Callithrix jacchus: one gene and its partners. The protein of the gene in region 7 interacts with the protein of the main gene of each other region in a biochemical or structural test. Links are inferred from orthologs where the notes say so. Each region holds a gene or a part of one and is shown on either strand. Other genes may lie near its edges.

The links.
Region 1: the proteins of SMURF1 (region 7) and UBE2M form a complex in vitro, tested with the Homo sapiens proteins (2 studies listed by BioGRID). The link is inferred for Callithrix jacchus from reciprocal best matches to the Homo sapiens genes SMURF1 and UBE2M.
Region 2: the proteins of SMURF1 (region 7) and RHOA form a complex in vitro, tested with the Homo sapiens proteins (2 studies listed by BioGRID and IntAct, with this or other methods). The link is inferred for Callithrix jacchus from reciprocal best matches to the Homo sapiens genes SMURF1 and RHOA.
Region 3: the proteins of SMURF1 (region 7) and UBE2D3 form a complex in vitro, tested with the Homo sapiens proteins (15 studies listed by BioGRID, with this or other methods). The link is inferred for Callithrix jacchus from reciprocal best matches to the Homo sapiens genes SMURF1 and UBE2D3.
Region 4: the proteins of SMURF1 (region 7) and UBE2D1 form a complex in vitro, tested with the Homo sapiens proteins (3 studies listed by BioGRID, with this or other methods). The link is inferred for Callithrix jacchus from reciprocal best matches to the Homo sapiens genes SMURF1 and UBE2D1.
Region 5: of the proteins of SMURF1 (region 7) and SMAD5, one has a biochemical effect on the other in vitro, tested with the Homo sapiens proteins (3 studies listed by BioGRID, with this or other methods). The link is inferred for Callithrix jacchus from reciprocal best matches to the Homo sapiens genes SMURF1 and SMAD5.
Region 6: the proteins of SMURF1 (region 7) and RHOB form a complex in vitro, tested with the Homo sapiens proteins (2 studies listed by BioGRID and IntAct, with this or other methods). The link is inferred for Callithrix jacchus from reciprocal best matches to the Homo sapiens genes SMURF1 and RHOB.

The regions. Positions count from the first base shown.
Region 1 is NC_133523.1:51,191,836-51,196,057, forward strand, and holds the start of UBE2M (NEDD8-conjugating enzyme Ubc12), read right to left. Parts: upstream 2,801-4,222; 5' UTR 2,598-2,800; coding exon 2,489-2,597; intron 1,406-2,488; coding exon 1,311-1,405; intron 1,183-1,310; coding exon 1,144-1,182; intron 1,043-1,143; coding exon 939-1,042; intron 632-938; coding exon 568-631; intron 486-567; coding exon 345-485; 3' UTR 1-344.
Region 2 is NC_133516.1:31,971,357-31,974,856, forward strand, and holds part of RHOA (transforming protein RhoA), read right to left. Parts: intron 1,673-3,500; coding exon 1,552-1,672; intron 1-1,551. UniProt on the Homo sapiens protein: Small GTPase which cycles between an active GTP-bound and an inactive GDP-bound state.
Region 3 is NC_133504.1:94,518,637-94,522,868, reverse strand, and holds the start of UBE2D3 (ubiquitin-conjugating enzyme E2 D3), read right to left. Parts: upstream 2,801-4,232; 5' UTR 2,680-2,800; exon of another isoform or gene 2,385-2,679; coding exon of another isoform or gene 1,827-2,384; exon of another isoform or gene 1,662-1,826; intron 1,447-1,661; 5' UTR 1,252-1,446; coding exon 1,228-1,251; intron 1-1,227. Other genes in the region: uncharacterized protein LOC108590841, read left to right, coding at 1,827-2,384. UniProt on the Homo sapiens protein: Accepts ubiquitin from the E1 complex and catalyzes its covalent attachment to other proteins. In vitro catalyzes 'Lys-11'-, as well as 'Lys-48'-linked polyubiquitination.
Region 4 is NC_133513.1:72,170,918-72,175,078, forward strand, and holds the start of UBE2D1 (ubiquitin-conjugating enzyme E2 D1), read right to left. Parts: upstream 2,801-4,161; coding exon 2,777-2,800; coding exon of another isoform or gene 2,495-2,776; intron 1-2,494. Other genes in the region: uncharacterized protein LOC144578806, read left to right, coding at 2,495-3,151.
Region 5 is NC_133503.1:34,536,839-34,540,772, forward strand, and holds the start of SMAD5 (mothers against decapentaplegic homolog 5), read left to right. Parts: upstream 1-1,134; 5' UTR 1,135-1,378; intron 1,379-3,934. UniProt on the Homo sapiens protein: Transcriptional regulator that plays a role in various cellular processes including embryonic development, cell differentiation, angiogenesis and tissue homeostasis.
Region 6 is NC_133515.1:94,759,031-94,763,017, forward strand, and holds RHOB (rho-related GTP-binding protein RhoB), read right to left. Parts: upstream 2,801-3,987; 5' UTR 2,422-2,800; coding exon 1,831-2,421; 3' UTR 449-1,830; downstream 1-448. UniProt on the Homo sapiens protein: Mediates apoptosis in neoplastically transformed cells after DNA damage. Not essential for development but affects cell adhesion and growth factor signaling in transformed cells. Plays a negative role in tumorigenesis as deletion causes tumor formation.
Region 7 is NC_133503.1:14,562,010-14,565,509, reverse strand, and holds part of SMURF1 (E3 ubiquitin-protein ligase SMURF1), read right to left. Parts: intron 2,540-3,500; coding exon 2,361-2,539; intron 1,853-2,360; exon of another isoform or gene 943-1,852; coding exon 805-942; intron 1-804. UniProt on the Homo sapiens protein: E3 ubiquitin-protein ligase that acts as a negative regulator of BMP signaling pathway. Mediates ubiquitination and degradation of SMAD1 and SMAD5, 2 receptor-regulated SMADs specific for the BMP pathway.

The DNA of each region.
Region 1 (4,222 bases), on a different chromosome or scaffold from region 7:
CCTCCAGAGGTGGAGGGGTGGGTTGCCTGGGCCCAGCTACCCAGGCCCCTTGCCCACCCACTCCACAGCCCAGAGTGGGGGCTGAACAAACACCCAGCAGGGGGCTAGACAAGCCAATTCATTTCCCATTGCTGAGTGGGTCGGGGGAGGCAACACCGACCTTAATCACATGGTGGTTTAAAAAAAAAAAACAAACTAGGGGCAGGTAGCAGGAAGGGGAGGCAAGGCCAAGGCAGGGAATTCCCCCACCGGCTGCCCCCCAACCCCCTGCCGGTGGCCCCCAATAAATATTTGCAGGGGACGCCACGGCTTGTGGCCGTGGCGGGGGTGGGTGTGCGCCAACCCTATTTCAGGCAGCGCTCGAAGTAGGTGGAGCCGATGTAGCCACCCCGCATGGAACGCTGCACGTTCTGCTCAAACAGCCGCCGGTTGTTCTGCAGGACCTCTGCGGCCTCCTTGTTCAGTGGGTCCTCGGGGTTGGGCTCCTGTGGCCAGTACAGGTGGGGTCAACAGGCCAGAGAGACAGAAGACCGATCTCCCCAAACCCAACCACCTATTCCTACTCACCAAGAAGAGATACTGCAGGCCATAAATTATGGAGTTTACCGTAAGGACTGGCTTCCAGTCCTCTCTGTGGACAGAGAGCATCAGGGTCAGGGCTTGGTGAGTGGGAGATTGCCATAGGCCCCTCTGATATTGGACAGGTCAGATCCAGGGCATAGGAGAGTGAGGATGTGGGAGACTGGGAGGGAGGGTGTGGAGCAGGCCAGGACAGGGAGAAAACCAAGGTCAGGCCATGAGGAAGATGACTGGGAAATGAAGAAACCACAGACAACAAAGGGGTGGGTAGGCACAGAGACTGATGTAGTGCCCAGAAGACCATGAGGGGGGTATGACAGGCAGGGCTGGGGAAGGCAGTAGAGGGCCAGTGCCCTCACCTGAGGATGTTGAGGCAGACGTTGCCCTCGAGGTCAATGTTGGGATGATAGACCATTGTCTCACACTTCACCTTGGGGGGATCATGCGGATAACCCTGGCCCACCTGGTTCCAGGAAAAGAAAAGGGAGATGGATTGGTGCCTGGAAGGGCCTCAGCTGCTGCCTCCTCAGTCCAGGCAGCCATCCCTGCCCACCTGGGACTCACCTTAAAACTGAACACAAACTTCCCACTCTTGTAGAAGCCCTGGGAGGGAAAGGGGGAGAAGAAGATTTTAGGGTTCAATCCTGTGGGGCCTGACAGAACATGTCTCCGTCCTCTCAGTGGGGACACTCTTGATCTGCTTCTGTGAATCCAGCCATATGCACCCTCACCTCATCAGGACAGATGACCAGCTTGAAGTTGAGGAGGTCGTCTGGATCTGAGAAGCTGATATCACACGTCTTGGGCAGGTTCAGCTCGTTTATGTCTGGGTTTGGGCAGCAGAGAGTTGGGGAAAGAAAGGGGGAGGGAGAAAGAGGGAGGGGGAAAAAGTGACAAAGAGGGAGACAGCAGGACACTTAGGGCAGGTGTTGTCAGCACAGCCCCTATGGCCTCCTCCTGGACCCCCAAGCCTCTGTCCTGGGCTGTGCTCCACACCTCCAGCCCTCTCCCTTCTCCTGTTTGGCTCTTGTGGATATATGGCATACCCCAAACAGGTATGTTCAGTCTGCGTGTCCCAACTCCTGGCCCAGGGTAAACGCCCAATTTTCTGCATCCATAGCTCCCAAATGCTCCCGCTCCAAATATCCTCTGACCACCCTGAATCCCAGGCTCCCCATCCAAGATGTTCCTACCTGTCCACCCAAAGTCAAGGGTCCTGCCTACCCTCACCAATTTTCAGTCCTCACTGTCCTTTTTCTCTGAGAGAGAAAAAGGCCTTCTTCCCACCTGACCCCCACACTCTCAAGTCCCCAAACCCTCATCACCCTAGCCCACTCCCTCTGACTCCGAGGTTCACAGCACAATAGGCTAAATTTCTTCTCACCCCTGTCTCCAATCCCTGGTAGTCACTAACCTTCTCTCCACCACCTGTCACCCCATACCCCAAATTGCTGTGACTCTGAGGCCCATGAGTTTCGGGTCCTCCAACCTAGTCCACCCGTCTGACTCTTGAGATACACGGAGTCTTCTCCCATTCATATCCCCAGCCCCTGGCCTCTACTATCCCTCTCTCCTCCTGTCATCCCAAACCCAAGTTCCCGTCTAACCCCCAGACTCTCGAGTCCCCAGCTCCTCCACTCCACTGCCTGACTCTGAGATTCCGGGTCCCTCGTACCAGACACAGGCCTTCCTAATATCCTAAACCACCACACACTGGGCCCCTATCTCTGACCCCCCTCCCCGTGACTGCATGACCCCAACCCTCAAGACCTGACCTCCGACCCGCTACACTAGGGGCCCTCCACCTCTGACCCTCGGCGATCGCATGATCCCCTCCTGACGCCCACATCACCCAGCCTCAGGCCCTGAACTCCGACTCTGGCTCCAGCCCCATCCCCTGACCCCCTACCCTTCTGGATCCGCAGCTGCGCCGCCGACGCCTTCTTGCTGCTGCCCTTGGTGCCGCCTGCCGACTCCTCCTCCTTCTTCTGCTGCTTCAGCGAGAACAGCTTGATCATCCTGCCGCCGCCGCCGCCGCTGCCGCCGCCGCGGGGCCCGGGACCCCGGCCACCCGGCCTCCCGCCGCCGCCCGCGTCGCCTCTGCTCCTCGGACCCGCCGCTGCGGCCTCCGCGGCTCTCGCCACCCGCCCGGCCTGCCGCGCCGCTCTGCTCTGCTCCGCGCCCACCGCGCGGCCCGACTCGGCTCCCGTAGTCCGGCTCTGGCCTGGCCTGGAGTCTCGGGCTCGAACGGCAGCGCTCGGCCAAACTCGGGTGTTCTCGGGCCGCCCGGCCCCGCCCCTATCGCCCCCGGCTGCTCCTTCCTTGCCCTCGCCCGCTCTGGTCTCAGGCCCCGCCGCAGCTGCGGACTCTGGTTTCCCCCGGCCGCGCCGTTTGGCCGCTCAGCTGATCCGTCCGCGAGGGAGCTGCGGCTCGGGGTGGGAGGAGGACGGGGCAGCCGCGGTGACGGGGGCTGAGTACTGAAGGATCGGTTTCCGCGGCAGCAGCGGCTTTAGCGCGGAGGTCGGTAACGGCCTCGGGCGCCCCGCCGCTTCGGATATTTCCGCCGCCTGTCCGCTTTGGGTCTTCCCGCCCGGCCTGCGTTGTGCGCCTGCGCAGCCGCGGCAAACTCGCGTTGCTCAGGGATGGAGTTTGGGGTTCGGCCTCCTTCGGCTGGATTCGGGTATTTCCGTTCTTGGAGTTGACGCTTCGGCTGCCCGGCGGGTCACTTCCGGTGACTCTAGCGGGGTCGGGCAGGAAGTGTGGTTAGCCGCCATCTTTGAGTGGGGCAGACGTGGGGTGTTTCGCTCGCGGTCACTTCATCCTATGTTGTACTTGTGCAGAGCGCGGCGCGGGTGGGTCAGAGCCTTTGACCCCATGGGTCACAGACAAAGGCAGGGTGATCGCGGCGAGACTCTGAGTGAGACTAGAGGCGTTACCCAGAGGGTGCGAGGTCGAGCACCTTCATTGTCCCATCGCAAACCCAAAGATCCCAGTTCCTGGAGATTCTGATTGAGGTAAACTAACAAAACATGTATTGTGCCAGATGGTGGTAAGCACTCTGGAGGGTTAAGGTGGTGTAGAGGAAGACCTGTCGGGCTGGACACTTGGGGAACGCGATGTGGGGGCGGAGCCGGGCAGCTCTGGGAGTGGGCCCCCAATTCCAGCAGAGACGCACTGCGGTCTCACGGCTTTCAACCCACTATCTGAAAAAGGGGATATAGGCGGGAGTCAGCTTCCCATCCAATCGCAGCTCAGTGTGTCTGGGAGGGCGGGAGGAAACAGAACCCTGCGGGTCAGCCACTTCCGCCGTCACCACGGAAACCATCGTGCTCGCGAGCGCTTGGTGTGGTGGCACTTGCCTGCGGAGGGGCCCAGGCGCCACCCCTCTGATTCTGCAGCTCCTCGCCCAGGAGTGGTCTCTGGCCAAGGGTGGCTTGTCTGCTTTCCCTGAGGCCACGCCTCCAGCCTTGTGGGTTGGGGTGACTAGAAGCAGCAGGGGAAAGTCTGGCTGCACCCCTGGAAGAAGCTTGGACAACAAGCCTTGAGTCTTAGTTCCTTGAAATGTCCAGGGCCAAGGCTAGCCCGATACCTAGCCAGAGTGAGACCTTGACTGGGGTTTAAGGTTCAAGCTGGACCCTGCTGC
Region 2 (3,500 bases), on a different chromosome or scaffold from region 7:
TCTTCCAAGTTAACCTGTGTGAAGGCAAAACTCCTGATCTCAAATGATCTGCCTACCTCAGCGTCCCAAAGTGCTGGGATTACAGGCATGAGCATCCGCACAGAGCCTTTAGCCACACCTGGCCTGTAGCCCAGGCTGGAGTGTAGGGGCGCAATCTCAGCTCATTGCAACCTCTGCCTCCCAGTTCAAGCAATTCTCATGCCTCAGCCTCCCAAGTAGCTCGATTATAGGAACATGCCGCCATGTCCAGCTAATCTTTATATTTTTAGTAGAGACGGGGTTTCACCATGTTGGCCAGGATGGTCTTGAACCCCTGGCTTCAGGTGATCCAACTGCCTTGGCCTCTCAAAATGCTGGGATTACAGGTGTGAGCCACTGCATCTGACCAAATTAATTATTTTCAAATAAAATCTTTATCTTTTGAGACAGAATTTCACTTCTGTCACCCAGGCAAGAGTGCAATGGCATGATCTCAGCTCACTGCACCCTCCGACTCCCAGTCTCAAATGATTCTCCGGCCTCAGCCTCCCAAGTAGCTTGAAGTTCAGGTGCACACACCATCAGGCCCAGCTAATTTTTGCATTTTTGTAGAGCCAGGGTTTCGCCATGTTGCCCAGGCTGGTCTTGAACTCCTGAGCTCAGGTGATCCATCTGCCTCAGACTCCCAAAGTGCTAGGATTACAGGCATGAGCCACTGTGCCCGGCCGAAATCTTTATTTTTTATTTTTGTTTTTTGAGACGGAGTTTCACTCTTGTTACCCAGGCTGGAGTGCAATGGCACGATCTCGGCTCACCACAACCTCCGCCTCCTGGGTTCAGGCAATTCTCCTGCCTCAGACTCCTGAGTACCTGGGATTACAGGCATGCACCACCATGCCCAGCTAATTTTTTGTACTTTTAGTAGAGACGGGGTTTCACCATGTTGACCAGGATGGTCTCAATCTCTTGACCTCATGATCCACCCGCCTCGGCCTTCCAACAAAACCTTTAATTTTAATAGAGAAGGAGTCTTGCTAGGTTGCTGAGGCTGATCTGAAACTCTTGGCTTCAAGTGATCCTCCCACCTTGGCCTCTCAGAGTTCTGGGATTAGAAGCAAGAGTTACAGCACCTGAACCTAATTAATTTTTTAGAGCCAGGGGTCACTAGTCCCAGGCTAAACACAAACTCCTGAGCTCAAGCAATTCTCCTACCTCAGCTTCCTGGGTAGCTGGGATTACAGGCACATGCAACTATCCCCCAACAAGTTAGATACATTTTCTTTCTTTCTTTTTTGAGACAGAGATTTTCTTGTCTCCCAGACTGGAGTGCAATGACTCGATTCCAAATCACTGCAACCTCTGCCTCCCGGATTCTCCTGCCTCACCCTCCCAAGTAGCTGGGATTACAGGTGCATGTCACCACACCCGGCTAATTTTTGTATTTGTAGAGACAGGGTTTCGCCATGCTGACCAGGCAGGTCTCCAACTCCTGACCTCAGGTGACCCACCTGCCTCGCCCAGCCTAGGTGGATACATCTTGCAGTGACAAACACTGGGCGCAGGACCACTCACCTAAACTATCAGGACTGTCGATGGAAAAACACATCAGAATAACATCGGTGTCTGGGTAGGAGAGGGGTCTCAGGCGATCATAATCTTCCTGTCCAGCTGTGTCCCACAAAGCCAACTCTACCTGTAATGGGAAAAACAACCACAAGAGCTCAAGGTTAATGCTACTACACACTTAAGTGACACTAACCATAGTACATTCAAATGACAGTCTAAAACAGTAAAACACAAGAATATTTACTTTTAAGAGCATCAAGCTCAAATTAAAGTATATTTAATTTATTTTAGGTTGAAATTTGTCAAAATCGGAAATTTGAGACCCTATCTCTACAAAGCAATCCTTAATAATTAGCTGAGTGTGGGCTGGGTGCAGTGCACACCTTTAATTCCAGCACTTTGGGAGGCCGAGGCAGACGGATCACCTGAGGCCAGGAGTTTGAGACCAGCCTGACCAGCATGGAGAAACCTCATCTCTGGTAAAAAATACAAAACTAGCCAGGCATCATGGCGCATGCCTGTAATCCCAGCTACTCGGGAGGCTGAACCAGGAAAATCACTTGAACCCGGGAGGTAGAGGTTGAGACAAGCCAAGACCATTGCACTCCAGCCTGAGCAACAAAAGCAAAATTTCGGAGTATGGTGGTGCACACCTGCAGTCCCAGCTACTTGGAAAACTGAGGTGGGAGGATTCCTTGAGCCCGAGAGGCAGAGCTTGTAGTAAGCAGAGATCATACCACTGCACTCCAGCCTAGGCAGTGAGACCTTGTCTCCGTTAGGAAAAAAAAAACAAAAACCAACAACCAGATACTAGAACTGAACCAAGTGGCAAAATTCAAAATGTCAAGTCAAAAATAACATAGCTTATAAGTATTTGATTATAAATAACACTGTACTAGGTAAGAAAGCAGACAGACAGGAGAGAAGATATAAAATTTTAAATAACATTCCACCAGGTACACAGACAAGAAAGGGAGATACCACACTAAGTAAATTTTCTGCTGCAATGTGGAAACATGGAGACAAATCTGCATTCTGAGTTGGTAGGAAAGAAAAGACACAACGCTGGGTGTTAGGCAAGGCCTGAGATGACAGGAGAGACCTTTGGCTGTGCCTTTACTATTCAAGAATGTCTGAATGGCTGAAATAATGCAACACATAAGGTGAGAGAGCACTCTTTTCACATCCAGGTACATGCTCAACCTCCTGTAATAGAAGGGTAAATTTGTTGGGTACCAGCCCCGACCCCATTCATGGGTGCCCTTAGTCTTGGCGGTGACAAAGGATTGAGAAAAGGAAATAAAGACAAAGACAGAAGAGTAGAATTTTACAGCATGGGTTCAGGGGACCAACACAAGCATGGGGACCACTGGCCCCAAGTTCTGGTTTCCACAGGTTATTAGGTGCACACACTTGTTAACTGCAGGGTGGTGGAGGAGGGAGGTGATAAGGGGAGGCCTTGAAACTATTGTGAGAGGCCTTGAAACTAATGTGGGCAAGATAGCCAGGGGAAGAGGTGAGGTCTGCAGTATTTGTAGCAGATGTGATTGATTGATTATTTTATTTATTAGAGATGGGGTTTCACCATCTTGGCCAGGCTGATCTTGAACTCCTGGCTTTGTGATCCACCCATCTCGGCCTCCCAAAGTGCTGGGATTACAGGTGTGAGCCACCACCTCAAGGGGCTTTCTTTTTTTTTTTTTTTTTGATGGAGTTTCGCTCTTGTTACCCAGGCTGGAGTGCAATGGCGAGATCTTGGCTCACGGCAACCTCCGCCTCCTGGGTTCAAGCAATTCTCCTGCCTCAGCCTCCTGAGTAGCTGAGATTATAGTCACGTGCCACCATTCCCAGCTAACTTTTTGTATTTTTACTAGAGACGGGGTTTCACCTTGTTGAACAGGATGGTCTCGATCTCTTGACCTCGTGATCCACCTGCCTCGGCCTCCCAAACTGCT
Region 3 (4,232 bases), on a different chromosome or scaffold from region 7:
TAGTAAGGCTGAATTTATTCCATGACATTTTTTTCAAGTTAGCTGTAAATACTCCACCCTCCTCGATTGAGCAACAACCTAACACACCACACAAACACAAGTCACAAAAAAGGAAAACACAGCCAGAGTTTGAATTTAGGTAAGTTTTAAGTAGAGGGTCTCACAGCAGTGCACAACCCGATATAAAAGTTAACATTTAACAAAACATATTATTTCACATTATTACGACAAGAGATGCCGGAAAGAGCCTGAACCAGTTAAAGCAGCCGCCATCTTAAAATGCGGGATAGAAGTTAGAGCTAGAAAATGAGACGAAACCACCGGAGGTGGAGGTTCCACTCACTCCCAGAGCTCTGAAAAATCCTAGTTTTCTTCTAACTTAAATCGACAATATACTAACCACATTTCAAGTAACGAAACAATCTTCCCCAAGGGTGTTATTAAAATGGGATGAGGCAAAAATAGGTACACCTAGCTTTCCCTTATGGCCATCGCACCCCTTATCCACCCCCCGCCGGCCAAAAGAAAAAGGGAGCTTCCAGAAGGCTTTTACATCAGTTCCCGGTGTGCCTCGGAAAAATAGCTTCGGGTGAAAAGCTGCAACTACAAAATATAGGAAGTGACAACACTGTGTCATTCCATCTCCTCCCAAATACTTACTAGGTGTACCCTACCCAGAGTCCGCGAAGAGTTTCTCCACTAGACTTATTCACTATCCTTCAATAGACAAGAGACTTCTACCCGACCCTCAGTCAAGTTCGCGACTCGCCAGATTTTTCGTCCGGGTTTTCTTTCTTTCCCCTAAAAAGTCTACAGAACCTTGATCTCATTAAGTCAAGTTTGGGAGCTCTCAAGAATAGGAAGCTGCATGACATCTGCTGAAGCGGCTCTCCTTACTTCGGACCCCAAAAGAACTGAAGCACCAAAAAAATAGTAACAATAATATAAATAAATAAAGGCGCTTTAAGTCACTCTCCTCCACCCCTAATTTGCACCGATTCCAATGAAGCACACTCACTAACACCTCACTTGCCACAAGTGTTCTCCGTTCCCTAGCTTTAAACTTCATTTCAAGAAGTATATCCGCGTTCTCCATCCCCCACCATGGAAGAAGAGATCCAAGAGATATTTTCGGAATTATGCTTCTTTCCCACCCCCACGCTTTCCTCTGGGCCCGAGCCTTCCTTTTCTCCCACGACCCCATTTCCTTCAGTTCCCGCGGGTTACCTTATTAATCCGTTTCAGCGCCATACTGTGTGCTTGTCGTCTGGCTCCTCACTCTCTCGGTGTGTGCTCAAAGGTCCGGACAAAACTCTTGATTATCCCGGCGGCGGGGCAGGATTGTCTCGTCTCACACCGGCTCTGCCAGACACAGGCGCCTTTTGCAAAAACGGAGCAGATCAACACTCGCACAGGCCTCGGAGAGCCCCTGATGAATCCAGCTCCCTAAGACAGACGCGACCCGGGGTGGGTGGGGTAGCAAAGCCACCAAAAGCCTCTATGCAGTGCTTTCTGCCCGAAGTGGGGGCGAGGGTGACGGGAAGAGCGGAGGGGGTGGCTACAAGTTTAACTTCCCGGCCTCTCGAAAGGAAGAGACTCGGGTGGGAGAGGAAGAGGCGTAGGAGAAAGGGGTGGGTGCGGGGCAGGGTCCGGAGCCCAGCAGAGGAGGAGCTGGGGCCTAGTCGGCGCTATACCGGCGTCACTACGGCAAAGAAAGGCAAGGGGGAGGGGGAAGCAAGAGACTCAGGATGGACGCCGGACTGCTTTCGGTTTCTGCCCAAAGGTGCGGCCGGGCAGGGGGAAGGAAATAAAGGAAGAGAGGTTTGATGTGTGTTGCTGTCCTCGCAGCGAGCTATTCTGTGTCGTCTCTGACGCCACCGTACACTCCGCCTTCCAGCGCGCTCCCGCGCGCGCCCGCCCAGCTACCTCCACCACGCGCCCGTGCTAACCCTGAGGCTCCGGCTTGGGCGCGTGGACGCGCCCATTCCCCCCTCCTCTTCCAGCAGGAGAGGCCCCGGCTTCTCCAGCCTTCCCACCCTACCCCACCGCACCCAATAGGCTGGCTATTCAAGCCGCCCAGGGCCCGCACTGCCCCTCTTACCCGGCCGGCCACTAGGCCGGCCTCCTTCCCTTCCCTAGCCGTCCACACCCACGCGTACAGAGGGGCCGGGGCCTCCCTCAAGCTGCGGCCTCGGCCTCCTCCCCGCGCGGCAGCTGGTGCCTCCCCGGCCCTACGGGGCTCACGCGCACGACACAGCCACAAGATGTCCGCTCTGACGGAACTACTGCCAGCTGCCACGCTCCGCCCCTCCCCCTTCTCCTGCCTCTTCACCGCCGCGGATCAGTCCGCCAACGCCGCCGTCGCGAGCACAGGACCGATGTAAGGCTGAAGCCAGACGGCTTGCTTCCCACGTCCGGGGCCAAGTGAATACGTGCCAATGCCTTTTCCTTGTCCTTCTCGGAACAGCACCTTCTTATTGAACAGATCGGAGATTGGACTAGGAGGGCGGGGGAGGGAGGCGGATCATGGGCTGGGGGGAGGGTAAACGAGTGGCGGAAACCCTTAGGCTCAGAGAAGCATCGAGAACCGGAAGGAGACCATGGGAGGAAGGTAAAGCAAGCAGCCGCTGCGCGACCAAGCCCCACGCCCCTCCCCACAGCGTCCCCCAGTTTCCTCACTTGGTATTGAGGCGACGACTCTCGCGAGAACTTCGTGGCTGGCTAACCGAAGCAGTAGCTCTGCAATGACTTAAGAGCAGTTTTGGGCGCTCTTCCTCTCGGGGTCCCGCCCCCAAAATCCATAAATTCTCGCGAGACGCAGTGAGGCACCGGCTCGAACTGGGGCGGGCCACGGCCAGGAAAGCACCGCCCCTGAATGTTTAAGCCGGTGGTTGGAAGAGGAAATGGAATTCCCCGGACTTGTAAGAGCGCGCGCCGACACAGTCCTCTCTCACGCGCCCAATCAGGAGTGTGCGGTGGGAGGTGTCATGGATTAATTACCAGATAACTTGAGTCGATGTTGAGCCGGGATTTTGAGATTTCCGGTGGAGCAGGTGAGCAGTATTTACTTGCCTGCCCTCCTGGGCTTGTTATGCTGTGGGAGAAGGCTCCCCTCAAGATGGGAACAGTAGTTTTAAATAGACTCAGGTTGGCGGCTCATCAGCGGTCCCACGTGCTGAAGTCCAGTGCCTGTCTGACCCTAAAGGAGCAACACTGAGAAGAGCAGGCCCAACAGGCCAGTTCCCAGAGTTAGAGCAGCCCGAGTCAAGCTCAACTGAGTCGATGGGGCTGGGACAGAGAGGGTTAGGGGCAGAGTGGTGGTCACGGGTCTCCGTAATCAATCGCAACCATCCACCAAGTGTAGAAGTGGAAACAAGCTGAACTTCTCAATACCTTTAACTTCTGTTGCTGTGTTTCAGTTACTGAGCCAGAAAGTGGCGAGACTAATTAAAAAATTAGGCAGAGTTTAGAGTCAGAAAAACCATACGGTACTTCCTCAAAGATCCAAGTTGGGAAGTGGGGTTTACATAAATAGGATTGGCCTGTTTTAGTCAAGGATTTAAAGTATGGAGAGGGCAGTTACACTCTGTAGTGTATTCTTTAGGCAAAAGAAAGACCTTAATGTTGGGTGGGTAAGCACTGACCAGCTTAAGGTTTTCTAACATTCCTTAATGACCCCAGTTACTGAAGTGGAGATTTTCAATTACATGGAAAAAATAAACTTATTTTAACAATACTCTTAATTTGAAAACTTGCAGGAAGTTTTACCTAATAAAAACAGATCAACAATGATGAATATAAGTGGTCTAATATATACTGTTCAAGTGACCATGTAGTGTCACTAGAGCAATTAGTGAAGCAGTGCTTCTCAAACTAGTATCCATAGGAACCACCCGGGGCTTTGTTGAAAATGCGACTTTTATTTGGTAGGGCAGAGATCCTACATTTCTTTTTTTTTTTTTGAGACAGGGTTTCGCTCTTGTTACCCAGGCTGGAGTGCAATGGCGCGATCTCGGCTCACCGTGACCTCGACCTTCTGGGTTCAGGCAATTCTCCTCCCTCAGCCTCCCGAGTAGCTGGGATTACAGGCGCGCACCACCATGCCCAGCTAATTTTTTGTATTTTTAGTAGAGACGGGGTTTCACCATGTTGACCAGGATGGTCTCGATCTGTTGACCTCGTGATCCACCTGCCTCGGCTTCCCAAAGTGCTGAGATTACAGGCTTGAGCCG
Region 4 (4,161 bases), on a different chromosome or scaffold from region 7:
ACTAAAATGCAAAATCAGCTGAGTGTGGTGCATGTGCCTGTAGTCCCAGCTACTCGGGAGGCTGAGGCAGGAGGATTATTTGAACCTGGGTGGTGGAGGTTGCAGTAAGCTGAGATCACGCCACTGCACTCTAGCCTGGGTGACAGAGCGAGACTTAAAAAAAAGAGAGAGAGAGAAATTATCCTTGGACAAAACACTCCACCACTTCACGTCTCTGGATCCTTCCTTGAATAAGAAGGACAAGACAGAACATCAGTGGCTCTCAGTCTTCTTTCCACCCCAACCCATCTGAGGGATTAAGCATCTCTCCATTTACAGAAGTGATGATAGTCTGAGAAAACATCCCACAGAAGAATCTGAGACACTGCCCTAGAAGTTGTTCCCCTGCTGGTATGCTCTACTACACTACTGCAAACTTATCTGAGGTTCCACACAGCTCTACGGCCTGCCACTTTAGGTAGAGGAAAATTATAATAATATTTCATTGAGCTTAAGAAGAAAGGCCAAAAGTTAGTATACATCTTCATTTGCTGGAACATGCAAGATCCAAATAAGAATTTGTATACTGATGGCATCAAAAAAGATTATGTAACTGTTCATATGGCAGGTAGCACATCCAACCTGGAATTGGCTTCTAATCAAGGAGGTAGGTAAAGGAGGAGGAAAAGTATGGAATCAATCAAAATAATCACCCCTCAGGTTTGAGGGAATGGTCTGAATATGTGATTAATGGAAAGATTTGTCTAAGTCAACTTGCCTGGTATCAGAAAGATGAACACATAGAGATGTGATGGTATATGACCCCCAATTTCTTCTCCAAAATATCAATTCATCACGTTTGATATCAATTCTATGTAGATAATTTTTTTTACTGGACAACTCTATAAACTAATAACTGTCAATGCTAAAAAGAAAAGATATGGACACATACCATATTATAAGTCAAATGCACTAGTTCAGCACCGGGATTGATGAAAACTGCCAAGCATGGTATTTACAAACACTGTCCATATTTCTTTGAATATCTACTTACTGTGGACAAATTACACAGCATTTAAAAGCTATTGTTAGTTGGGCATGGTGACTTGTGCCTGTAATTCCAGACTCTCTGGAGGCCAGGAGTTCAAGACCAGCATAGGCAACATAGACTCCCCAACCCCCATCGCTTTAAAAAAAAGAAAAAAAGAAAATTTAAAAAGCTCTTGTGTGTGCAAAGTCACGTGAAAAATTCTCACAACTAGGAAAGAAGAAAATAGACTGAAAACTTCCTTGGAAGATGTGCATTATCTGATCCAAATGTGAACCAATATTATGTCATCATTAATAAGTATGCAACGTATGGTAAACATGCTGACTGAGGCTTCAAAATTAGGATATTTATATGAAAAAAATGTGTAATTGTACTACCTTCAAACAAGAAAACAGCATTACTTAATAAATGCTGATTGTTAACTGTTTTACAATGAGATGACCTTTAAATGGCACAAAAAAATAAGTGAACCACAGATTCAGAAATTGAAAACAAAAAACTAGCAGGCTCTAAAAGTTGCTGTCCTCTGTACCTAAAGATGCCACCAGTGGTGAATCAGAATACAATGTCACTGCTCTAACACATATATTGCTATATTGACTCCTGGTCAAAAAAGTGGATAAAAATGTTTTGTGGGCATCAATGTATTCTGAAACAACTATAAAACACACTGCTCATTGTTGCTTAACTTGCTGAAAAACACTCCCTATTTAACAAACACATTCTCAACGTTTCCAGTGTGAACTATAACTGTAAAACCTAAAACCTGGGTCAGTACACGGACCACCAAGAAATAAACATGAACAGAAAGAAATGCCCGAATCTCAATTCCGAAAGCTGTTCACATCTGAAATGGTTGCAATAAATACTGTGAAAAGAAGACAGTTCCATACACAGGGTTGAGATGGCCAAACAGTCGTTGGATGAAGATATACATTTCTTCCTCATTCTATACTCATGTGTCAAAGCATCAAAACAATTTAATTTGTGACAGTTTATGTTGTGTCTCGAACTTTACATCTAAGTTTATCATGAGGGGGAAAAAAACCTGTTTGGCTTGACTCACCGTGAATCACAGCCAGGAGGTCATCTTGTTGTGTATCAGCAACTATGTTTTCGCTACAGCTATGTGACCTGAAGTGGCAGCAGCAGAGGCACCAAAATAGAAGGGGCAGGAGCCTTCTCCTGGCTTCTTGGCTGCAAATGAGCTTTCCAGCCCATTTGGGCAACTGAGCAAGAGCCAACCGCAAAGGAAAGAAAGAACCAACCCTGACAGCTCCGCGGAGAAAGGCTGCAGGCCCACCCCACCTTCCGTGCCCTCCCGGGGAGCCCGGAGAAGCAGGAACAAAAAAAAGGACAGGCTTAAGAAACAGCCTGCAGAAAACACAGCATGACAGGGGTCAAAACTAGTCCCATGGAGGGCAAAACCCAGCCCTGACCGTGAAGCACAGATTTTGGGGCGGTATGGAGGCGGAGGAGGCTCTCTACCCCGGGGCTCCGGGAGCGGCTCCGGCGCGAGCGCAGAGCGGGCCCCCAGCCTCCAAGCTCCTCCGGCCGCCTGGGACCTGCCCCAGCTCCCACCTCACCTGTCCGGTGCCCGCTGGCCCGGCCCGAGCCTCCGGCTCCCTGCCCGCGCTCCGGCCCACCCTCCCATCCCGTGCTTTCCCCGCACGTCCCTCGGGACCACCGGCCGGGTCAGGGGGCCGCTGCCCGCCCCGCAGCCCCAGGCCCAGCCTCGGCACTCACTTTCTGAATCCGCTTCAGCGCCATGGGTCCGGGATGGCGGTGGGGACACCGGCCGGCGGGGGGCGGCTGCGGGGCTCGGGGGCGCGGGTCGTCCCGGGTTGGGCTCTGGCGGCTCGGCTGGCTCCGCGCAGTGGGTCTCCGGCTCGCCGCTCCCAGGATCGCTCCGGGCGCCGGTCCCTGCTCCGTGTGCGCCCGAGAGCGAGTGTGCGGGCGGGGACGCCGGCGAGACTCTTTTGTTTCCGCTTTTGCTTCTGGGAAGGAGCCTGCGCCCTCCCCGCCGCGCCCCGCCCCGCCTGGCACACTGGGAAGTGTAGTTCCAGCCCTGTCCTCGGCCGCAGGCCCGCGGGCGCTGGCAGGTCACCTACTCACCGCTGACCTCAGCTGGGCAGCTTCAGGTGAGAGCCGCCGGACGCTGGAATCGGTCTTTGCAGTCTCATTTAGAGCACGTGACTCTGGGGCTGCGCATCTGGAAAATGGGGATAACAAATGAGCTGCTAACGCACTTAAAGGCATTTCTAAATTATCAGTTAGTAATTCCTTATCCAATAGGAGCCACAGCTGGTTTTGTTATTTTACCTTTAAAGATTTCACTTTTTCTCAAATATATGCATTGTCGCAATTTCTCACCTTGCACATATGCACAAACTGATTATCTATCAGATCCCTTACTTACCTCCTTAGTTCTTATTGCCGAGGAAAAAGGTGTGCGCGAGTGTGCGGGCGGGGAGTGCTGTCACTGTGAGAAGCATTAGTTTCAGGTAGCTCTCTTCTGTCCAATGCACAAATCTTTCTTGTCTGAGTGCATTGTCTGCTCGTAGGTATACCCCTCTTCATAAATACCCGCTTCGAATACCTAGTTCTGAGCTCTCACTCCCCGCACTGGCTCCTTCCCTACTCATACACACACACAGGCCCTACTCAACAGTCAACTCACACTCCCCACTCTCCAATTCCTGTGCACGTGTGTACCCACTAAAACATGGCTTCTTGCCGGGCGCGGTGGCTCAAGCCTGTAATCCCAACACTTTGGGAGGCTGAGGCAGGCAGATTGCCTGAGGATGGGTTCAAGACAGGCCTAGCCAACAAGATGAAACCCCATCGCTACTAAAAACACAAAAATTAGCTGGACGTAGTGGAGCACATCTGTGGTCCCAGCTACTCGGGAGGCTGAGGCAGGAGAATCACTTGATCCCGGGAGGCAGAGGTTACAGTGAGCGGAAATCACACCACTGCACTCCAGCCTGGGCGACAGAGGGAGACTCCGTCTCAAAACAAAACAAAACCCAAAAACTTGGCTTCTTCTTTGAGCACCGCAGAATCAGTTTTCACCAAGGTCACCAATTGGAAGCTTGAGCTTCTAATTACCAAATTCAACTCACTCCCTA
Region 5 (3,934 bases), about 20 Mb from region 7:
TAGGATATATTTTGAAGAAAGAGTTAATAGAATTTCCCAATAGATTGAATTAGGATATGAAAGAGCATTTTCCAAAATGACTCCGATTTTGATTTTTACTTATTTTTAAAAGAAAACCTATAATAAAACATTGGAAAGCCAGCATTGACCTTCTAAAATAAAAACAAAATTATTCAAGAGCTTTTTCTTACTAGTATCCTCCAAATCGGGTACCCTATGTGGTACCAATAGACTCTTGGAAATGCTAACAGTTTTGGAAATTTGGAGGAAAAAGCATTGCGAAGAGTTTCAATTACTAAGAAAAGAGTCCAGGAGATGGGGTGGTGTATATTAGCCTATACTCTTGGAAATGCTGACAGTTTTGGAAATTTGGAGGGAAAAGCATTGAGAAAAGCTCCAATTACTAAGAAAAGAGTTCAGGAGATGGGGTGGTATATATCAGTATCTCTGGACCTCAGTGACCCCACTGCCTGCAGGGCTTGGGTCCTCAGGGTATCTCCCTCCCCACAAGGAGGTGGAGAGGGTATGTTGTCTTGAAATACTGGGGTTGTAACCCGGTGTATGGACAGTCCCATTCCAGGATCGGGCACTCGGCTCCATTTCCATAGGCCCTCAAGGGTTCCAGGATTGCCCCGTGGGAGGAGTTTCAGTGCTGCATCTAGTGAGAAACTGTAGGATGCTCAGAAACATGTTTTGAAGCTACTGTGCACAGAAAGAAGACTCTTCATTCAGGTTTGTATTACAAATCAATACAAGTAGCTAAGTCGTATCTGAAGATCTTTGTTTACACTTTGTATATGACAGAAAATCTCCAGTTGTCTGTATCCAGGACAATTACTTACTTTTATTACAATGTATGCTGATTTGGTTAGTGGAAGCTACTAGCGGCTACTGTTGGGGTGGGAGCTATCTAATTCCCACTCCCAGGCTTGGCCATCGACGCAAACGCCTCCGGCGGCCGATCGGAAGTTGGCGTTGTCCGGCGTTGAGCCAGGCCCGAAGGCTTCCTTCAGCTGCCCGGGCAAGACCCCCCTCCCTCGGTCCCGCAGCGGTCACTCAGCCCCAGGCGCGCATGCGCTGACCCCAGCGGGCGTTCTCCCAGGCTCCCTCCCTCCCTCCCTCCCTCCCTCATCCGGGTCCTGGGCGAGCGGGCGCCGTGCGCGTGTCCCGCAGTCGAGCTGCTAATAAAGTTGCAGCGAGAAGCGCCGCGACCGCGTCGGGAGAGCGCGCCCAGCCGGCCGGTGAGTGAGTGAGGGTCCCCGGCGCGCGCGGGCGAGCTGGACCAGAGGCTGCAGGCCCTGCCCGTGCGGATTCGGGCCGAGGCGGGGGCGTTCGGCCGCGGCGGAGCGGAAACTACCAGGGGCCTGCCGGGCCGGAGGTAGGCCGAGTCTTGGCCTGCTGGGGTCCCGGCTGGCAGACACTGTGCGGCCCAGCGGCTGCGGAGGCCTCTCCTGCGGCCCGGGGCGTCCTGAGGCGGGGCCGGGGCCGGCCCTCATCCCAGCCCCGCTGTTACCACCCGGACTTAGGAGGGAGGCATCCGGGACGTCCTGGAGGGGATCCCCTGACCCCTCGTCTGTTCTAGAGAGCGGTTTGCTTTCCTACGTCAAACTGATGTACCACCCTCGATACACATCCCTGATAGGACTGCAGTGCTCGGGGGAGCAGCCTGGGCTTCTGCACTGCAAAGCTGTCCAGTGGCTGGATGAATCCGTGCCGCGGTCGGTTTGTGTTTCAAAGATAAGGATCCGCGCTTATCGGTTTTAATTACACTCGGGGCAGTTGTGACCGGCTACTGCAATCAGCTGGTAGTTAGACCTGGTTTCCGCCACTTGCCATGTCAGTTTTCACCACGGCAAGGATTTCTTCTACTTGTAAACTTCTCTATGCTGCAAACAGAATGCCAAAGCAGCGTCTTTTTGCCTTCACCATATTCAGCCGCTGGCCAGGCCCTATACTTCAACATCAGGGCCCAAATTAATATTCCAGTCTCTTCCCTTTCTCCTCCCCTTTTACCCTCTACTTCTCAGCTGCTGTTATTACGTGGAGTTTGGAGCCTAAGCTTTGAAAACTCCCATGTGGCGCGCCCGTCTTAAGTCTGAGCATGCTCAGTAGCCAAAATAGATTTTTGGTTGCAGAAAACTCGGGCGAGGATAGTCGGGGTGTTTGGACATTTGACGGCTTCCTAACAGAACCTTTCGATTCTGGTGGTGATGGCATTGGAGAATGGAGCTTAGGCCAGTCTGTAGGTGAGGAGTGGCTGCACACCCTGAGCCAGATCGTTATCTTGATTGTAAAGACAATGTTTCCTGACCAGCTGGAGGTTTGGAGGGGGTGTGGTGTTGGGGGGTGGCGCAGGGCTGCTTGTGTGTTTAAATGGGTGTGGTGCTAAGTATATCTTGTTTACCTTATCTGTGGAAAAGTTTTGAAGTCTGGTTAGGTTTGTCACATCATGCCTGTTGCCTAGCGCTATGAAAAGTGTTCTTATCTAGCAGAAAAGATTGGATAGGTGGAGGTCGTGGCTTGGCCTCACAAAAGTTGAGAGGAAAGGGTATTTGGATTGCGTTTTTTAAAACTCTTATTTAAAACTAGAGTACTTGAATTTCCTTAGAGTACCTGAATTGCCCAGAGTGAATTAGTTTTTAATTTTAATTTGAAAGATGAAAGTTTGAAAATCTTAGTCCTAGTAGGTTTAGTAACTTTCCAAATAGCTTACAATTCCTGCTAGATGCCGACGCAGTAGTGTCCGTTGTGGGAAAACAGCACCTACACTCAGTGGGACAGTTTTACATTTATTGATCCAAATACCATTATGAAATTAGTGTTCCAGATTTCATAAGGGGCTATTTGTGGATGTGTGACAAACCATTTTAGTCTTTTATTCCTTTGGTAACTATTAATATTTTTCTCTCTACGGCGAAAATTGTAGAAATGCAAAACTTAGAAGAGACAATTAAACAAAACTTAACCCTCATAAAGGTTGTAGATACTATGTTTAGGTTTATAAAATTTAAATTTGATGATTGTATGATTGTTCCTGTACATCTTCCTTTGCTTCCCTCTCCACATTGCTGCTCCCTCAGTCTTTTTTACATTACTGCTTTTAATTTACCCATGTATCTTTGTTACAGATACCTTATTCTTCATTTTGTGCTTCCATTCCTTTCAGATCATAGCCGAAATAAGCAATAAAAGTTAGATGAACCCTCTCAACTGACTTTCCTCTCAGGTTTTAAAGGTATCCACATGATATGGTCTAATTAAAAGGAGGAAGAGAGGAGCAAACTGGAAAAAAATAAAATATTTTCATAGTTTCTGTACAGATCTGGTAGTATTATCTTTGTGTCTGGTTCACTGTGGAAGGCGCCACAGAAATGGGTAGATTGATATGTGTTGCATTTCTTTCCCCTCTGGCAAAGTCAGCTATTAATTTCAGTGGGAGACAGTGGCAGAAGGTTGTTACTAATGAGGTTTGAATCAGATTGTTGTTTATTGTTGGTTATGTAACATGCTGCTGGGAGTATTATTAAAAGTTGCATTCTGTAGTAAAGTAAAGGCAAGTAAATTCTGCTTACCCTCTTCACTGGGTTTTAATTCTTGGCTGAACCTGAAGGCACATTAGACTGCAACCATAATTATACCTGGGCAGCCTGTCTCTTTCCTGTTTTCATCATGAACCCAAACATTATGATTTGCAGTGATGATCTTTTTTGTCCTTTGCATTAAACGGAGGCACTGTGTTTTCTCTTTCTACTGAAAACAGATTTGTACCATGGTCAAATTAAAGAGTTTAGTGTTTTGAAAACTAGGCAGTAAAATACCAGTTTTTCATTTATTAATACAGTAACAAATTGAAATACCATCTAAAAAATCTATTTAATATATATTCAATTTTAATATTACTGGTATTTTGTGGAGTTAAGAAAACTTTTTGTTT
Region 6 (3,987 bases), on a different chromosome or scaffold from region 7:
ACCCAGTAAACAGGCTCCTGAGAGAGGGCCTGATCCCACACCAATGATTAATAAAAAAGTCATCTAAATTTAAAATGCACAAATGACACCTTTCCAAGACTCAATAAACAAAGTCTGAATAGACTTAGACACAGGTGTGTTTCACACACACAGGTGAATGAAATCAAGATCTGCAGTCTCACCTAATTCAATTGAGTACATAATAGGTCAAAGGTTTTTGCACTGGATGTCGGGGTATCCACTCATCTTCCTCTAGGAATGCTGACAGGAACAAACTGGTCTCTCCCTTGGTACCCCAACCCCCAACCCCTACATGCTCCCAACAGGACTTCATCCTCATTTACCACATTTGCTATAAGGCAAACGGAGTTGGCAAGAAAGGATCTCGCCTCAGAGAATGTCTCCCTCGTCCCAGATTCACAAGGATACTATTAAACCACAAGAGCCATTTTATAAATGTCATCATAGTCTTTTAATATTTTACATAAAAAACTGTATACACAGCTTATAGAACTTTTATGTAAACATCATAAGCTCACCATTTTGTCATTTGTCAGTTTATTTAAAAAATAAAAAACAAGACAACAATTTAGTAGAAGTACCACTGGGAGGGAGGGGAGGGGAAGAAAGGAAATATAGGGGCAGGGGTATTCTCTGTACAGAGATGCAGAGAAAATTTCACATAGCTTTAGAGAATGCCTTGTGAAAAAAAAAAATAGGCCCCAATACTTGTTACTGCCCTTTATCAAAATTGTGTGCATAACCTGCACAAATAAAATCACAAAACAGTGTTGCCACTTTCTTCAAGGAAACAAAGCGAAATTTAATGGGTTTCTTTTCCCTCTCCTTGTTAAAAGTCATTTTTTAAAAACATCAGAAGTAGATGAGGTTACAGCGTACAAGTGTGGTCAGAATGCTACTGTCGTATGCAAATGACAAGTGCATTAAGTGTCAAACAATGAAACAATTGTGCAAAGAATTTTCAAAAAACAAATTTTAGCCTTTAAATAAATCAAACATCAGTTTCTTGGACTGAACAATTTTCACTTGAAGGACAGGCACAAAGTTCGCTTATGGCAAAAACAAGCCCACAGCGCACCCTCCCTCCTCCCGCCGATGACTGGCAAACGGTTCGCAGGGGGCTGGCTCGCAGGAGAGGCTGAACTGAAAGCTGCGTCCTCCCCAAGTCTGTTGCAAATGTCTTCCCCAGGGGTCAGAAAGACGGCCAAGTCCTGTTCATGCCTGGACAGGAGTCTGGCCCAGCCTGGGCCGGAGCGCTCACCCATCACCACCATTAAATAACACCATCTTAGCTCCGAAAATAAAATTATATCTATATTTATATAACATTCCCCTATCCTCCCCAGCCCTCCCCTCCCGCAGTACCCCGGGTCTATGTTACAGACAAGGGATATCAGACGCCCGCTGGTGAAAGGCGAACATCTGATGGGGCGCGGCCACACTCCCGCGCCAATCTCGCCCCCGGGGATCAGAGACGGGGGTGGGGTGAAAATGGGGCGAGGAGAGTCGAACAGACACACAGCCACACGCTCTGAGGCCTGGCTCTTCAGAAAAGCATGCTCAGGGGACCCTTGGCACTCAGCGGGGAGCCCAGGCCTGTGCAACACAGCTGGACGCACACAGACACTGGGAAGGGGGCGCCCGACGCCCACGCCGAATTCTGGCGCGAGCCAGAGCCGCCAGCAGACAGATGCCAGGCAGTCCAGTAGGGTCCTTGTGGGACACGGGTCTCCCCTTCTCCGGGCTCGTGGGGGACGGGTCCAGGAGGGGGAGCCGCGCTGACAGTGTTAGGCGCGACGGGCGCGGCCCTCATAGCACCTTGCAGCAGTTGATGCAGCCGTTCTGGGAACCGTAGCGCTTCTGCAGCGCGGCGCGCGTGGCCGTCTCGAAGACCTCGCGCACGCCTTCCTTGGTCTTGGCCGAGCACTCGAGGTAGTCGTAGGCTTGGATGCGCACGGCCATGGCGCGGCCGTCATCCGTGCGCACGGGTTCCTGCTTCATGCGGGCCAGCTCTGTGCGGACATGCTCGTCGCTGCGCAGGTCTTTCTTGTTGGCCACCAGGATAATGGGCACGTTGGGGCAAAAGTGCTTCACCTCGGGCACCCACTTCTCGGGGATGTTCTCCAGCGAGTCCGGGCTGTCCACCGAGAAGCACATGAGGATGACGTCGGTGTCCGGGTAGGAGAGCGGCCGCAGGCGGTCGTAGTCCTCCTGGCCCGCCGTGTCCCACAGCGCCAGCTCCACCTGCTTGCCGTCCACCTCGATGTCGGCCACATAGTTCTCGAAGACGGTGGGCACGTACACCTCGGGGAACTCGTCCTTACTGAACACGATCAGCAGGCACGTCTTGCCACACGCGCCGTCGCCCACCACCACCAGCTTCTTGCGGATGGCCGCCATGAGCGTGCCGGGCCCGGGCAGCAGGAGGGGGCCCGCGAACGCCTCGCTGCCGTCCCGCTCGCCGCTCACTGCTCACCTCTGGCTGCGCGCAGGGTCAAGGGTCGCTAGCTGCACCCGGGCCCTGCGGTGGCGCGTTCTCTCGCTGAGCTCCGGCTGCCGCGGCGGAGGCGATAGGGGCGCGGGGGCATAGGGCGCACCTTCCGTCTCGCCGCGCTGCTTCCGGGCGGTGGTCGCTCTGCTCGCCCCGGGCCGGGAATCGGCAGCTTTGTGCGTTACGCGGGCTTGGGCGGCGGACTCGGCCTAGCTCCCTCCTGGGTCTCTCCGGGCCTTGTCGTGTACACAAGAGAAAACACGACACAGTCAGATAGCTGCGGCAGATGAGGGCTGCGGCCCTAGCGCCCGCTATTTAAAGAGTCCGGCCACTTTCTTAATATAGCCGTCCAATGGGAAACGAGCCGGCTGAGCTCATCGCTGCGGAGCTTGGCTCTGATTGGCCACCCTCTGCAGCCCAAAGGCGGGGCTGGGAGAGGCAGCCCGCCTGGGCTTGATTGACGGCCCAGGCCGCGGGGCTGGGAGAGGCAGCGAACCGGGAGTCTGCGCTGCCGCTGGCTCTGCGGGGCTCTGGCGGCACCCGAGTCCCCTCCTTCGCCGCAGCGTCTGCGCGCGGGGCCCGGGAACTGGCTGCTTGGAGCCTACGAGGTCTGGGCGAACGGTTCCGTCTCTGAGGCGGCACTCAGTGGGCGTTGGCGACTCCCCTTCAGAATTGCCCCTCTTCCTGGCAAACTCGCTGCGGGTGGTCGGACCTGTGGAAGAGGGGCGGCCCTTTTAACGTGGTTTTGTTTTTAAATAAACAGACACACGCGCACCCACCACACATACAATTTTGTTTCCAAGGAAGAGGGTTTTCTCCTTTTGGCGGCCTCCCCTCCTGTGGTCTAGGGCCCCACCCAGGTACTCGCCCTGGGCCAGCCTCGGGTTTGGACCCGAGAGGCGACAGGCTAGCTGCAAACTGGCTCTTCCAAGTCCCGCCGCTCTCCGCTTCCTAACCCCCCAGCTTAGGTCTCCACGTGAAGATTAAGGGAAGGAGTGTGGAGTGGCAGAGCTTGACAATGGAAAGGGAAGGTCGAGGCTGGAACACTTGGAGGAAGTTACCCAGCGTGGAGAAGCACCCTCGGCCCCCTTTTCACGATGAATTCTGATCCCGGTCCTTAAAGCTGAGAACTGTCTGAGATAAATTGTGCAATAGAATATACAATATTGCACAATAGAATGTACAGTATTTTGGGTACGATAGAATCCAACAATCCCAAGACCCCTGAGGGGACGAAAAGGCTTAAGGCTGGGGAAGAGGGGCGGGAGGAGGGGCTTGCAAGTAGGGTACAGCGAATTAGTGGGTGTCTCCTCTAGTGGGGCGCCAGATCCCTAGCGTCTTGACGTACACCAGGACTAAACTCATTTATCCTGTAGATCTTGCAGGAGCTAACAGTACCTCGGATCCGGAAAGACCCAAGTTAACCGATTTCGACGGACAAAAGAGGAAGAAGAGGGCAGGGGGAATGGGGAGTC
Region 7 (3,500 bases):
GGTTCTGATATCACAGTCTGACAAACATGGGAACATATTGGGGGCCCCCTCTAGATCTCCCCACCAAGACACAAAATCCCCACCAGCTAGTAGTGCCAAAACCTTGGCATCACGTTAAAAATGACTCAGCACGTGCCCTGATTCATTCTGGTTCGCTACTGAAAACAGCAGGATTGCACCTGACTTGTCACATCAATTGCTGTAATTTGAAAGCACGTTCTGGCCAGGCATGGTGGCTCACACCTTGGGAGGCCAAAGCAAGAGGATCGCTTTAGGCCAGGGGTCCGAGACCAGCCTGGCAGCACAGCAAGACCCTGTATCAAATGTTAAACATTTAATAATGTTTATAAGTGCATTTGAAAGGACAGCTCAGGACGACTGGGCACACAGCCACGCCCACGCACTTCTCAGCGCCAGTGCCTAGGCCTGAACATGGATTTGCCTCAACTCAGAGGTGGAAAAGACTGACAGGGTGGCTTCCTCGGACTGACCACAAGACCCTCCAAGCAGCTGCTCTCTCCTTGGCCCCCCTACTTTGCACCCAGAATTAGGTGGTCACTTGAAAGTCCTTCCCCACGTGGGCTCTGTCCCTCAGGCAGGCCTGGCCCCATCAGGACCCCTCCAAGCAGATCCCTGACGTGGCTGCTGAGCTGTCAGTTTCTGAAAGTCACTTCTGTTCCTATGATTTGATCACAAGTGCCAGCCATCAGGGACACGCAGGCCTCACACGGCGAATGAGCCACAGCAACTAAATGCAAACTCATCCGTGCCCCAGGTACTGGCTGTGCCCCCCAGATGACTTACCTGACATATTCTTTCTTGTTCTCCTCTGTGACAGGCACGTTTCTGCCATTAGGTTTCAGTTCATGCTGAAGAATCCGCCCGAAGGCATTGTGTTCCACGCAGAAGGTGTGGTCCAGCACCGGTGTGATGTCATTCTCTCTGTTGAAGACAGAAGGTGACGTCAGTTAGAGTTCAGCCACCATGTGCCAATGAAAGGAACATCAAGTAGGGCCATCGGGTAGACAGAGAGATGGCGTTTAGGACTCCCAGACCCAGGCTGCAAGAGAGGACAGCCGCAGGCGGACACGAAACCCATATGGGGGCGGCACCGCAAATGGTGCTGGAGGACCCGGAGACCACAGTTCTGGTTCCAGATGTCCCCGACTCCTGGCTTCCTCACTCACAGAAGGCGGGCAGCACTGAAGGCAGGAAATTGACCTGGAGATGAAGCCACACCAAGAAAATACGAGTCCCGCCTTAGAGCCAGCCTTTCCAAACACATCAGTTCAAATGCAAAAGCACTTAAAAGTGAAAATTAGCTCCTGAATCTGCCATAGGCAGATTGGAAGTTTTGTTGTTGTTGGTTTTTTTTTGAGACAGAGACTCACTTTGTCATCCAGGCTGGAGTGCAGTGGTGCAATCTCAACTCACTGCAACCCCTGCTTCCTGGGTTCAAGAAGTTCTCCTGCCTCAGCCTTTTAGGAGCTGGGACTACAGGCACATGTCACACCTGGCTTTGTTTGTGTGTTTTTAGTAGACACGGGGTTTCACCATGTTGGCCAGGCTGGTCTCGAACTCCTGATCTCAAGTGAAGTGCTTAATAACAGGCAATGAGCCAACATACTGAGTGGAAGATTTTCTACCCGGTCCCTGGGGTCCCCTCTTCACGTTGGAACATGGGACATACAACTAGGAGGCCCCCACTCCCACTCATCCACATTCCTTCTGTCTGCCAGAGCAGAGCCTGATCTTTCATCCCCACGAAATCCACAAGACCTGTGACACAGTTCATCTTGTCATTGCCTGCTGCCCTTAACAGAATGTCTAGAATAATTCTAAAGCAGAGGTACCTAAATGTTCAATTTGTTTTGATATGGGCTTGGCTCCTGTGAGGTTAACTGGAGACTCCCGTGAGTGTCACACACACCCCGAGCCTGGGGAGTAGTCTGTTAAAGTTCGTGATCTTACCTTCATAATTCAAGGAAATGAAAGAATCTAGTCCCTGAAGAGAAGCCGGCCCAACATCACAAGGAAAATAAGGCAACTGAGTTTTTTGTTTTTTTTCTTTGGCTAGATCTGGTGGGGTGGTTTTTTTTTTGTATTTATTGTAGTAGTAGGGTCTCAGGACGTTGCCCAGGCCCAGTCTCAAACTCCTGGGCTCAAGCAATCTGCCCACTCTGGCCTCCCAAAGAACCTTCTTTTTTGTTTCAGGTTATTTAATACAATGGCTTCTTTGTGTCTCTTCTTCAATTTCACACCCATCCCCAAAATACACAAACGCACACGCATGCATGCAGACAACAGAGGTGGTGGCATGTCCCACGCCAGGTAACCGTGCACCATCAGTCAATACTTACAGGATCCACACCAGGCTCTTATGCAGCTCCGGGTCCACGGATTCCAGATCCGAGAGCTGGATGGGCTTTCCCAGGAGCTGCTTATAGAAGGGCACTGTGAAGCCCCCATTGATGTAGTGCCCATGAAACACGGCCAGCCCCATGATCCGCCCCACAAAGTGGAAGTAAGACAAGTGGTCCTGTAGGGGGCACCAGAAAACACAAATTCATCAGCACAACGCTGGTCAATGTGGGAGTCTTCTTGGGAAGAGTGTCCCAGAGGCAACTCAGGAACTCACAGGCCGGGCTCATGAGCAAGTGAAAGAAGGCTGCTTGTGTAGCTGAATTTGCATAGAGTCACTGGACAATTTCAGGGCCAATACCTCCTCAGACTATATAACTTGCAGAGGAGCCCAGTCCAGTGCAAAATGAAAATGCAGAGCCCATGTTCAGCAACGACTGAGCATTTCACCTTGTGACAACAGAATCAAACCAAGCATGGGGCCTTGACACTGCAGGGCCGCGGCATCCTGCAGGACGCACGCCCAGGAAGCCAGCCCTGCATTCCCTCCCACTGCACAAGAAAGACAAGGGCAAGCCCCCTTCTTCCACCACCCCTCCCTTGATCCAGAATGAAAGGAATGAGGGAGGGAAGAAATTCTAAGAAGGGGGAACAAAAAGACCACAGGAAAATATGTATGAATAAGCCAAGTAAAATAAACAATTCTAGGCTGGGCGTGGTTGCCCGTGCCTGTAATCCCAGCACTTTGGGAGGCTGAGGCAGGCAGATCACCTGACATCAGGAGGTTGAAACCAGCCTGGCCAACATGGTAAAGCCCCATCTCCACTAAAAATACAAAAACTAGCTGGGTACAGTGGCACAAGCCTGTAATCCAAGCTACTCGGGAGGTTGAGGCGGGAGAATTGCTTGAACCTGGAAGGCGGAGGTTGCAGTGAACTGAGATCACATCACTGCACTCCAGCCTGATTAACAGAGCAAGACTACGTCTCAAAAAAAAAAACCATTCTAGAACCAGAGCCGTCTGGTTTTTAACTCAGGAACCATACGCCTCTGCTTTCAGGTTTGAATTATGTTCATCTCAGAAAATGAGTGAAAACTCTGCTTCCATGTTGGTAAAAGGTTCTTCCACATTTGAATGC